3 linked regions of the Anolis sagrei genome follow. The protein of the gene in region 1 purifies or fractionates together with the protein of each later gene. This does not show direct contact. Links are inferred from orthologs where the notes say so. Each region holds a gene or a part of one and is shown on either strand. Other genes may lie near its edges.

Region 1 (3,748 bases):
AATATAAACATATTAGTATTTCAATAGGAAGTGTGGGCCTGCTTTTGGCTGATGAAATAGGATAGTTGTTGTTGTTGTGTGCTTTCAAGTCGTTTCAGACTTAGGTTGACTCTGAGTGAGGGCCGGGTAAATGACCTTGGAGGGCCGTATGCGGCCCCTGGGCCATAGTTTGAGGCCCCCTGATCTAGACACTAGACTCCTATGAATGCAGGCCAAAATCCCTCTAGAATCATAGAATCAAAGAGTTGGAAGAGACCTCATGGGCCATCCAGTCCAACCCCCTGCCAAGAAGCAGGAATATTGCATTCAAATCACCCCTGACAGATGGCCATCCAGCCTCTGTTTAAAAGCTTCCAAAGAAGGAGCCTCCACCACACTCCATGGCAGAGAGTTCCACTGCTGAATGGCTCTCACAGTCAGAAAGTTCTTCCATATGTTCAGATGGAATCTCCTTTCTTGTAGTTTGAAGCCATTGTTCTTGCTCCCTCCTCCCTATGACTTTCTCTCACGTATTTATACATGCCTATCATGTCTCCTCCTTCTCTTCTTCAGGCTAAACATGCCCAGCTCTTTAAGCCGCTCCTCATGGGGCTTGTTCTGCAGGCCCTTGATCATTTTAGTCACCCTCCTCTGGACACATTCTAGCTTGTCATTATCTCTCTTCAATTGTGGTGCCCAGAATTAAGACTCAATATTCCAGGTGTGTTCTAACCAAGGCAGAATAGAGAGGTAGCATGACTTCCCTGGATCTAGACACTAGACTCCTATGGATGCAGGCCAAAATCCCTCTGATCCTGCAAAGGGAAAGCATCCTTCAGAATCCAAGTAGGGAAGGATGAGGCTGGATCTACCCTACCATATGACCCAGAATCTGATCCAATTTGGAATTGGATTATATGAGTCTACACTGCCAGATAATCTAGAATCAGATCCTGGGATATAGAGCAGTTCCAGGCGAGAAGCAGCCAAAGGGAGAGACTAATATTTACCTGTTGCACACTGGCCACTTTCATGTAGGAGACCAAAACCAGGAGCAAAGGCACGTGGATGTTTTTGCCACGGAATAACCTGCCACCTGGGTGAAAGAAGAGAAGGGGGGAAAGATCAGGAAAGAGGAATCCCTTGTCAGCTTTCCCTAGAGCAGTGGTTCTCAACCGTCCTAATGTCGTGACCCCTTAATGCAATTCCTGATGTTGTGGTGACCCCCAACCATCACATTATTTTCTTTGCTACTTCGTAACTGTCATTTTGCTACTGCTTTGAATTGTAATGTATATATCTGATATGCAGGATGTATTTTCATACCCGATACATCCAAATTTGAATACTGGTGGGGTTGGAGGAATTGATTTTGTCATTTGGGAGTTGTAGTTTCTGGGATTGATAGTTCACCTACAATCAAAGAGCATTCCGAACTCCACCAATGATGGAATTGAACCAAACTTAGCACACAGAACTCCCATGATCAACAGATAATACTGGAAGGCCTTGGAGGGCCCTTGACCTTGAGTTTAGGAGTTGTAGTTCACCTATATCCAGAGAGCACTGTGGCTTTTAAAAAATGATGGATCTGGAGCAAACTTGGCACAAATACTCAATTTACCCAAATGTGAACACTGGTGTAATTTGGAGAAAATAGACCTTGACATTTGGGAGTTGTAGTTGCTGGGAATTATAGTTTACCTACAATCAAAGAATATTCTGAACTCCACCAACAATGGAATTGAGCCAATCTTGGCACACAGAACTTCTATGACCAACAGAAAATACTGGAAGGGTTTGGTGTGCATCAACCTTGATTATGGGAGTCGTAGTTCACCTACACCCAGAGAGCACTGTGGACCCAAACAATGATGGATCTGGACCAAACTTGGCATGAATACTCAATAGGCCTAAATGGTGGAGTTTGGGGAAAATAGACCTTGACATTTGGGAGTTGTAGTTGCTACAATTTATAGTTCATCTACAATCAAAGGAAATTCTAAACCCCATCAACAACAGATTTGGGCCAGAGTCCCATAAGGAACCCTCATGACCAACAGAAAATACTGTGTCCTCAGGGGTCCCGACCCCCAGGTTGAGAAACACTGCTCTAGAGGGAAGAGAAGCCCCCTTTTTACCGCTTGGCAGGGAGGCGAGGGAGAGAAGGTCCTGCAGGATCTGCACCAGGGTCTCGATCTGCTTCCCTTCCTGGACGTTCTTCAGGCGGACGATGAGTTTCCTTAAGGCGGCTTCTCGCCTCTCCTCGTCCTTCTCCTCTTCCTCGCAGGCTGGCACCCCCTCAGTGGCCATGGCTGCCTTCCCACTAAGGGCCAAGATGCCCAGGAGTCGCCTCCCGCCAGTAAACAAATCTTTTGAGTCAGCAGAGGAAGCGGCGGGTTGTTTGGAAGTCGCCTCTCCCCCCGCTTGGCTTGACTTTCCTTTCCAAGCTTGGTGGGTGCAATGCGCGCCGCGGCCAGAGGTGGCGCTAGAGGGAGACGAAATCCCCGCGGGGGCTTTGACGCGCAGCTCCCTTTGCCAATCCCGCACAAGCCCCTCTTTTGCAACTTCCTCCCTTACTAAAGTAACCCCCTTCTCGTCCAATATGGGAATATTACACCACTTGCTCCTTCCAGGGAAGGAAGTCTGTATAGGAGGAAGGGGTGGGGAAGGAAAGTCCGCATTTGTGGCTCAAATCAGGGCTTTCCGTTCCCTCTTGGAAAAGGGGCAGCCCAAGGTTTCAGTTTCATGGTCACGAGTTTGAAAGCAAAAGGCAAAAACAAAACAGATTGGAAGATGAAGAAGTCCCTTAAGTAGTGGGAGGTGGACACTGTCTTTTGCAACACAGGGCCCTTCTATATCCCAGGATTTGATCCCAAGTTTATCCCGGATTATCTGGCAGTGTGGACTCATATAATCCGGTTTAAAACAGAAAACCTGGGATATAGGGCCTGTCTAAAAGGTCCCTTCTACACGACCGTATAAAATCCAGATTATCTGCTTTGAAATTGATTAAATAGTGTAGACCATATTATCCAGTCCAATGTGGATTATCTGCTTTGATAATCTAGATCAGGGATCCTCAAACTTTTTAAGCAGAGGGCCAGGTCACAGTCCCTCAAACTGTTGGAGGGCCGGATTATAATGTATTGTCGAAGGCTTTCATGGCCGGAATCACTGGGTTGTTGTAGGTTTTTCGGGCTATATGGCAATGTTCTAGAGGCATTTTCTCCTGACGTTTCGCCTACATCTATGGCAAGCATCCTCAGAGGTAGTGAGGTCTGTTGGAACTAGGAAAATGGGTTTATATATCTGTGGAATGACCAGGGTGGGACAAAGAACTCTTGTCTGCTGGAGCTAAGTGTGAATGTTTCAACTGACTACCTTGATTAGCATTTAATGGCTTGAAAGTGCCTGGGGGGAATCTTTTGTTGAGAGGTGATTAGATGTCCCAGACTGTTTCCCTTCTGTTGTTTTGCTTTTTCCTAGTTCCAACAGACCTCATTACCTCTGAGGATGCTTGCCATTCATGCAGGCAAAACGTCAGGAGAAAATGCCTCTAGAACATGGCCATATAGCCCGGAAAAACCTACAACAACCCAGTGATTCCGGCCATGAAAGCCTTTAACAATATGATGAAGAAGTCCCTAAAGTAGAGGGAGGTGGACACTGTCTTTTGCAACACAGGACCCTTCTATATCCCAGGATTTGATCCCAAGTTTATCCCGGATTATCTGGCAGTGCAGACTCATATAATCCGGTTTAAAGC
Region 2 (3,748 bases), on another chromosome or scaffold:
AAAACATGGTGTTTTGGTGTTTAAGTTGTAAAATCATGACGTAATTTGACGTTCAATAGGTTTTTCCTTAATCCCTTCTTACTATCCAACATTTTCGCTGATCCAACGTTCTGCTGGCCCATTTATGTTGGATAAGCAAGACTCTACTGTACTTACTATGGGACTTGAGCACCCACAGATTTTTGGTATCCACTGGGGGAACCTGAAACCAAAGTCCAGCAGAAAAACATCAACTACCTCTCCTTCAGGGTTTAATACAGTGTGAAGGTGCAAAAGAAACTCATTTTACAGAGGGCAAGTTTAACTGGAGCATTTATACCCACCCCACCTTCAGATAGAAAGGCTTACTCCATCCTTCAACCGGAAAGACTCTTAGGACCCTTCCAGACAGGCCCTATATCCCAGGATCCGATGCCAGTTTTTCTGCTTTAAGATAGATTATACGAGTCCACACTACCAGATAATCTGGGATAAACAGACAACCTGGGATCGGATCCTGGGATATAGGGCCTGTCTGAAAGGGCCCTCGGATCAGCTCCCAAATTGTTAATTTGACAGTTTCCTGCACTTAGGTTTACAATTTCAGAGTCCTACCATACTGCACAGTTGTAGCACTACTATTCTGCTTTAACTACCATGGCAAAACCCTGTGGAATTATGGGGTTTGTAGTCCTCTGGCTGAGAATTCTGAATGTCCTTACTTAAACTACAAATCCCAGAATCCCACACTATGGGTGGCTCCACAGTGGCCTTTTTAACCACCATGGAATCATGGGAGCTGTAGTTTAATAGGGGACCAAGCTCTTTTGCAGAAAAGGCTAAGGACCTTTCAAAACTACAATCCCTATGATTATTTAGCATAGAGCCATGGCACTTAGTGTGCCTCTACTACATTGTAGAATCAATGCAGCTCAGCACTAGAATTGATGCAGTGTGATCTCATGCTATGGCTCAATGCTATGAAATCGTGGGAGTTGTAGTTTGGTGAGGCACAAGCACTCTTTGGCAAAGAAGGCCAAAGACTTCACAAAATATACATATAACTCCCATTATTCCATGGCATTGAGCCAGGGCAGTTTAAAACGGCACCAAATTGCATTAATTCTGTAATATCAGTGGTGTCAGACACACCCTATGTCACCATGGCAGCTAGGGTGGAATAATAGTGCTGTAAAAACCTAGATACGACCCTAAGCAGAGAAGTGTTGTCCTCTAAGGATTTGAGTGCAACGCATGATATCTGCACTGTAGAATGAATGCAGCTGGAATGCCATGGCTCCATGTTATGGGATCATGGAAATTGTACTTTTAATAAGGTCTTTAGCCTTTTCTGCCAAAAGTTTGATCTGGGCTACTAAATGCCATGATTCCATAGGACCACTCAGTGGCACAGCGGGTAAAATCACTGAGCTGCTGAACTTGCTGATCAAAAGGTCGGTGGTTCAAATCCGGGGAGCGGGGTGAGCTTCCGCTGTTAGCCCCAGCTTCTAGGCCTGGGCAATGCATGGTTCTAAAGTACTTACAAAACTAAAGTTCTGGTGGTGAAAATTTCAGAACTCTAACAAAAGTTTCAAATTTTAATTATTATTTCATTATTGGTGATTTTTATGATAGAACCAATTAAGAACTGCCATTTATAATGAAATTTTGAGAGTTTTGAAATTTTCACCACCAGAACTTTAGTTTTGTATGTACTTTAGAACCATTTAGAGCCATACATTGCCCAGGCTTACCAGCTTCTGCCAACCTAGCAGTTCGAAAACATACAAATGTGATCAATAGTTACCACTCCAGCAGGACGGTAATAGCGCTCCATGCAGTCATGCTGGCCACATGACCTTGGAGGTGTCTATGGACAACACCGGTTCTTCGGCCTAGAAATTGAGATGAGCACCAACACCCAGAGTTGGGCACGACTGGACTTTATATCAAGGGGAAACCTCTACCTTTACCCGAGTGTTGAGAAACTCACCAAACTACAACTCCCATGATTCTCAATGCTATGAAACTTGGGAGTTGTAGTTTGGTGAAGTCAGTGGCACAGTGGGTTAAAGCATTGAGCTGCTGAGCTTGTTGACTGAGAGGTCACAGGTTCGATTCCGGGTTGAGCTTCCGCTGTCAGCCCCAGCTTCTGCCAACCTAGCAGTTCGAAAGCATACAAATGTGATCAATAGGTACCACTCCAGTGGGAAGGTAACAGCGCTCCATGCAGTCATGCTGGCCACATGACCTTGGAGGTGTCTAGAGACAACGCCAGCTCTTCGGCTTAGAAATGGAGATGAGCACCAACACCCAGTCGGACACGACTGGACTTAATGTCAAGGGGAAATGTCTACCTTTACCCGAGTGTTTGGAAACTCACCAAACTACAGCTCCCATGATTCTCAATGCTATGAAACCTGGGAGTTGTAGTTTGGTGAGGTCGTTTAGGCTAAAGTACAACTCCCTTGATCTACATTGACCTATGGCAGTTCCAAACTGCATTAATTCTACAGTGGGCAAATTTCGGCCCTCCAGGTGTTTTGGACTTCAACTCCCACGATTCCTAACAGCTAGTAAGCTGCCTGGGATTTCTGGAAGATGAAGTCCCTAACACCTGGAGGGGCCAAGTTTGCCCATGCCTGGTGTAGATGCAAGGCTGGGTGGCACCTTTGCAAGACGGGGGGGGGGGGGGGGGCTTAACCTCCAAAGGCGTGCTGAAGGCCCGGGCTGCTCCAAGGGCAGGAAGTTCAAGCCATTGCAATGCTCTTCAGAGCAAAAATGCAACGGGAGAATGCAGCACCCTCCTTGCTTTGGCTTCAAGGGGCTGAAATCTAGGCACGGGTTCCTGGGACGATCTCGCGCTTACCGAAGGCTTCAGCACCCTTCGCAGCGCTCCAGCCGCAGCAGCCATGTTCAGCTCCGGAGGCAGAAGGAAGGGGCACGTGGAAGCGGAGGGGCGGGGCCACCACATTTAGTAGCCCAGAGGCTACTGTCTCTTTAAGAGCAGCCTGAGACCATCTCCCTTAAAGGGCCCTTCCACACAGCCATAGACCCAGAATATCAAGGCAGAAAATTCCACAATCTCTGCTTTGAACTGGGTTACCTGAGTCCACACTGCCCTATATCCCCGTTCAAAGCAGATAATGTGGGGTTTTATTCAGCTGTATTGTTGTTGTTCATTCGTTCAGTCGTGACCTCATGGACCAGCCCATGCCAGAGCTCCCTGTCGGCTGTCACCACCCCCAGCTCCTTCAAGGTCACTTCAAGCATGCCATCCATCCATCTTGCCCTTGGCCCCTCTTCCTTTTTCCTTCCATTTTCCACAGCATTTTGGTCTTCTCTAAGCTTTCCTTTCTTCTCATGATGTGGCCAAAGTACTTCATCTTGGCCTCTTCTATTCCTCCCTCCAATGAGCTTGTTGTTGTTCATTCGTTCAGTCGTTTCCAACTCTTTGTGACCTCATGGACCAACCCACGCCCGAGCTCCCTGGCGGCCGTCACCACCCCCAGCTCCTTCAAGGTCAATCCAGTCACTTCAAGCATGCCATCCATCCATCTTGCCCTTGGTCGGCTCCTCTTCCTTTTTCCTTCCATTTTCCCCAGCATCATTGTCTTCTCTAAGCTTTTCTTTCTTCTCATGATGTAGCCAAAGTACTTCATCTTGACCTCTTCTATTCTTCCCTCCAATAAGCTTGTTCTTGTTGCTCATTTGTTCAGTCGTTTCCAACTCTTCGTGACCTCATGGACCAGCCCATTCTAGAACTCCC
Region 3 (3,748 bases), on another chromosome or scaffold:
TGTAGAAAGGCTAGTGCATTGATTCAACATTTCCTAGCAGGGCAGGGCTGTGGCACCCTGACTACAACCGCCATAATCCCTTGCTTCCTCCCATACTGTGTAGGGATTATGGGCACTGAGGTGCAAACCGGAGCCATATGTAAATATTTGCCCTATGTAACAACAAAGTATATCCACACTGTAGAATTAATGTGGTTTGATACCACTCCAAGGCTATGGATTCCTGGGTTCTGTAGTTTTCCAAGGTCTTTCACCTTCTCTGACAAAGAGCACCGGCGCCTCACCAAACGATGACTCCCATTATCCCATAGGATTGAGCCATGGCAGTTGTTGTAGGTTTTTTGGGCTACATGGCCATGTTCCAGAAACATTATCGCCTGCATGTATGGCGGGCATCCCCAGAGATTGTGAGGTCTCCCCCTCAACCACTCAACTTGTAGCCAGGCTTCATGCGTCTTGGCTACAAAATGGTGGCCATAGGGCACAGGCAAGCGACCTCCACCATAGGTGTTCCAGAAGCATTCTCTACTGACGTTTCGCCTGCATGTATGGTGGGAATTCTCAGAGATTGTGAGGTCTCCCGTTCAACTGCTCAACTTGTAGGCAGGCCTCATGCACCTTGGCTACAAAATGGTGGCCGTAGGGCAAAGGCAAGCAACCTCCACAATAGGAGACCTGAGAGTAGCCCTCAGAGGAGTCCACATAAACACACAGCCCAAGCATGTAGCCAGGGGAGGGGGGCGCTTGGGGAGCTTCAGCCCCCCCCCCCCCCCCGAAATTCTCATGGTGGTTCGCGAAAAGGCCTTACTGGTGCATTACTTAAACTGTTCTGTTTATTCATATCATGATCTGATCACCATGCTCAATATATCCCATATGCATGGGGGTATTGGGGTAAGGATACAAAAAGTTTGCTAGGGTAGACCAGACCCTCTTTCACTCAGACTCAGCCCCCCCCCCCCATCAAACTCAGCCCCCCCCCCAAATCAAAATTCTGGCTATGGGCCTGACACAGCCCTAGTCCCCATGTGAGAGTGTAGACATGTTCTCGACTGTATTTTGGGAGTGGGGGAGAGGCCTTCAAAATACTTTAAACAGTTCTTCCTCTGAGCATCAGGCAGGGCACTGTGGACACGCATACAGATACGGAGTGGCCTGTTCTGCTCCCCAGTCGCACAAGGTGGAGGATTCTTCTGGGTGGAAAGTCTTCTAGAGAAGCCACCCTAAGGGCGAGGACTGAGAGAGGGGCTCTGAGCCTGGCCTTGCCCACCCCCTCCTCCAGCTCGCCCTCGTTGCGCGCATCCAGGTTCCGGGGCTTCGGAGGAGGGGGGCGTGGCCGAGCCGCTTTCGCCTGCCCCACGTGGCCCGGCCCGGCCCAGCCAATGGGAGCGCATGTTTCTGAAAGATCTCCATATATGGCGATGTTCTCGGCCGGCCAGGCGGGGGCCGCCGCCCCCCTGGGTATAAAAGGGGCGGGGCTGGCGTTCGCTCGGTCTCACTCAGCCGGCGGCAGCGGATCTAGCACGATCGGCTCCTCTCTCTTGTCTCCTGACCTTTTGAAGCTTCCGCCTCCTTGCAGGTAGGTCACGTCCCCCTCCTCACGCCCCCCCCCCCACACCTTGCCTTTTTCTATTAATATTTTATATGCAGCTGTTACTGGTTTTGTCCAAAACGGATGCGAAAAGTATATACTTTATTTAAAAAATTCTAGATTGGACATGAGTGTGCCTGTAAAGATAGGAAGCGGTTTATGATTTAAAGAGCGTGGGCGTTAAGCCCCTTTCCCGCCGCCTCCTCGTCTCGAGCCGCTAACGGCTTCCGAGGGGCGCCTTGAAAAAGGGAAGGCGGTTTCCTCGCGGCCGGCTTGGCTCGCGCGAACCCCCCCTCCTCGCGAGCCCGCAACGGTTCTCGTGATTGGGCAGGGCCGAGGGCAGCTGGCGCCGGATTGGCCGGGCGAGGGCGCTGACGTCACTGGGCGGGAAAGGAGACCATTGTAAAATCTATTCGAAAAGGGAGGCAGTTCAGGGAGGGAGAGAGGGGGGGCAATGACACTACGGAGTGCATGCAGGTCGGCCCCCATTTTCACTGTAATGGTTCGATGCTGTGGGATCACGGGAGTATGGTTTTTAGTGGCGTTGTCGAGATGCGCGAATTCTGCAGTGTAGTCCACACATTGGCAAGCTTTGGCCCTCCAAGTGTTTCAGACTTCAACTCCTACCATTCCTAACAGCCTCAGGCCCTTTCCTTTCTTTCCTTTTCGCTTAAGCGGCTTAAGGGGGAAAGAAAAGGGCCTGAGGGTGTTAGGAATGGTGGGAGTTGAAGTCTGAAACACCAGGAGGGCCAAAGTTTGCCCATGCCTGGTCTAGACGTCTTGGTTTCAATCCAATCGGAGGGGGGTTGCAGCAAAGGGTGGGGGACGTTTTTAAGAGCCGAGTATTGGTTTTTTGCCCCCATCCTACCCTTTTCCTTCATTTAAATGTTTTCTAGGGGGCTGCTTGCTTAAAGTTCACTGGGCGGGGCTTGGTGGCATTTTGTCTAAAACTGGTCTTTTGTGTCCTGAGTGGATTCAAAGAAATTTCACTCTTGGATATGTGATGGTGTGTCATTCGTTTTTTTCTCCTTTGAGTTCTGGAGATTGGCATGTGTTGTGAGAAATGTGTCTCTTTTTCCTTTTGGTTTTGGCAGGGTGGGCCTTTTGCAGCTAAATTTTCAATAGCTAGGGCCAATAGCATAGCACATCGACAGCCATTTAGGCTTGATTTGTGGGGCTCTTAACTAAGACTAAAAGTTGAGCTACTAATTTTCAAGGTGTATATTGAAGGCAGAGAGAGAGGAGAATGTCTGCTGCCTGCTGATGGTCTGTGGAGGGAGGAAATGAATGAGTCTAGAAAAGCAGCCCAAGAGGGTGGGGTCCTCAGAATGGCTGGCAGGCTGCCAGAGCAGCCCCTAGTGGCCAGATGCTGCAGTGCCTGAGGAGCGAGCGGGGGAGGGAGTAGGGCACTATACCAGAATGTGAGGTGTGTTAAATGTTCCTTAATGATTTTTTCCCTCATTTTTAAAAGCAGATATAAAAATGGAAGAAGAAATTGCAGCACTTGTCATTGACAATGGATCTGGTATGTGCAAAGCAGGCTTCGCTGGAGATGATGCTCCTCGTGCTGTGTTCCCCTCAATTGTTGGGCGCCCTCGCCACCAGGTAAATAGCCGAGCAAGCAAGCTAGCTGATGAAGGGTTTTGTCTGTGTGGTTGAAGTTATAGGCTGTTTAACGCCTAAAAGCACAAGCTGAGCTTTTTTCTTTGCCTCCTCTTTCTATAGGGTGTCATGGTTGGTATGGGCCAGAAAGATAGCTATGTAGGAGATGAGGCTCAAAGTAAGAGAGGTATCCTGACCCTGAAGTACCCTATTGAACATGGCATTGTCACCAACTGGGATGACATGGAGAAAATCTGGCATCATACTTTCTACAACGAGCTCCGTGTTGCTCCAGAGGAACACCCTGTGCTGCTTACAGAAGCTCCATTGAATCCCAAAGCCAACAGAGAGAAGATGACACAGGTATGGTGTTGGCACTGCTGATTTTCTGTATGTTCACCCATTTCACCCACCCATTTTTCTTTCCAGTTACAGTGTCTCTTCTCTTACTTTTAGGGCTCTGTGCTGTCCTGGCATTTCCTTCTTGAAGTCTCAGGTTTCTGTTGTATTTCTGCCTGTTTTTCTTTTGGTTTCCAACTCCATCTGATACTTTGC

The links.
Region 2: the proteins of LRRK2 (region 1) and PRDX3 purify together in Homo sapiens (co-immunoprecipitation; 3 studies listed by BioGRID and IntAct, with this or other methods). This does not show direct contact. The link is inferred for Anolis sagrei from reciprocal best matches to the Homo sapiens genes LRRK2 and PRDX3.
Region 3: the proteins of LRRK2 (region 1) and ACTG1 purify together in Homo sapiens (affinity purification with mass spectrometry; 3 studies listed by BioGRID and IntAct, with this or other methods). This does not show direct contact. The link is inferred for Anolis sagrei from reciprocal best matches to the Homo sapiens genes LRRK2 and ACTG1.

Annotation. Positions count from the first base shown.
Region 1 is NC_090025.1:82,029,453-82,033,200, reverse strand, and holds the start of LRRK2 (leucine-rich repeat serine/threonine-protein kinase 2), read right to left. Parts: upstream 2,457-3,748; 5' UTR 2,293-2,456; coding exon 2,121-2,292; intron 1,076-2,120; coding exon 990-1,075; intron 1-989. UniProt on the Homo sapiens protein: Serine/threonine-protein kinase which phosphorylates a broad range of proteins involved in multiple processes such as neuronal plasticity, innate immunity, autophagy, and vesicle trafficking.
Region 2 is NC_090023.1:202,461,146-202,464,893, reverse strand, and holds the start of PRDX3 (thioredoxin-dependent peroxide reductase, mitochondrial), read right to left. Parts: upstream 2,950-3,748; 5' UTR 2,894-2,949; coding exon 2,849-2,893; intron 1-2,848. UniProt on the Homo sapiens protein: Thiol-specific peroxidase that catalyzes the reduction of hydrogen peroxide and organic hydroperoxides to water and alcohols, respectively. Plays a role in cell protection against oxidative stress by detoxifying peroxides.
Region 3 is NC_090022.1:131,820,134-131,823,881, reverse strand, and holds the start of ACTG1 (actin, cytoplasmic 2), read left to right. Parts: upstream 1-1,470; 5' UTR 1,471-1,579; intron 1,580-3,062; exon of another isoform or gene 3,063-3,065; 5' UTR 3,066-3,073; coding exon 3,074-3,196; intron 3,197-3,316; coding exon 3,317-3,556; intron 3,557-3,748. UniProt on the Homo sapiens protein: Actins are highly conserved proteins that are involved in various types of cell motility and are ubiquitously expressed in all eukaryotic cells.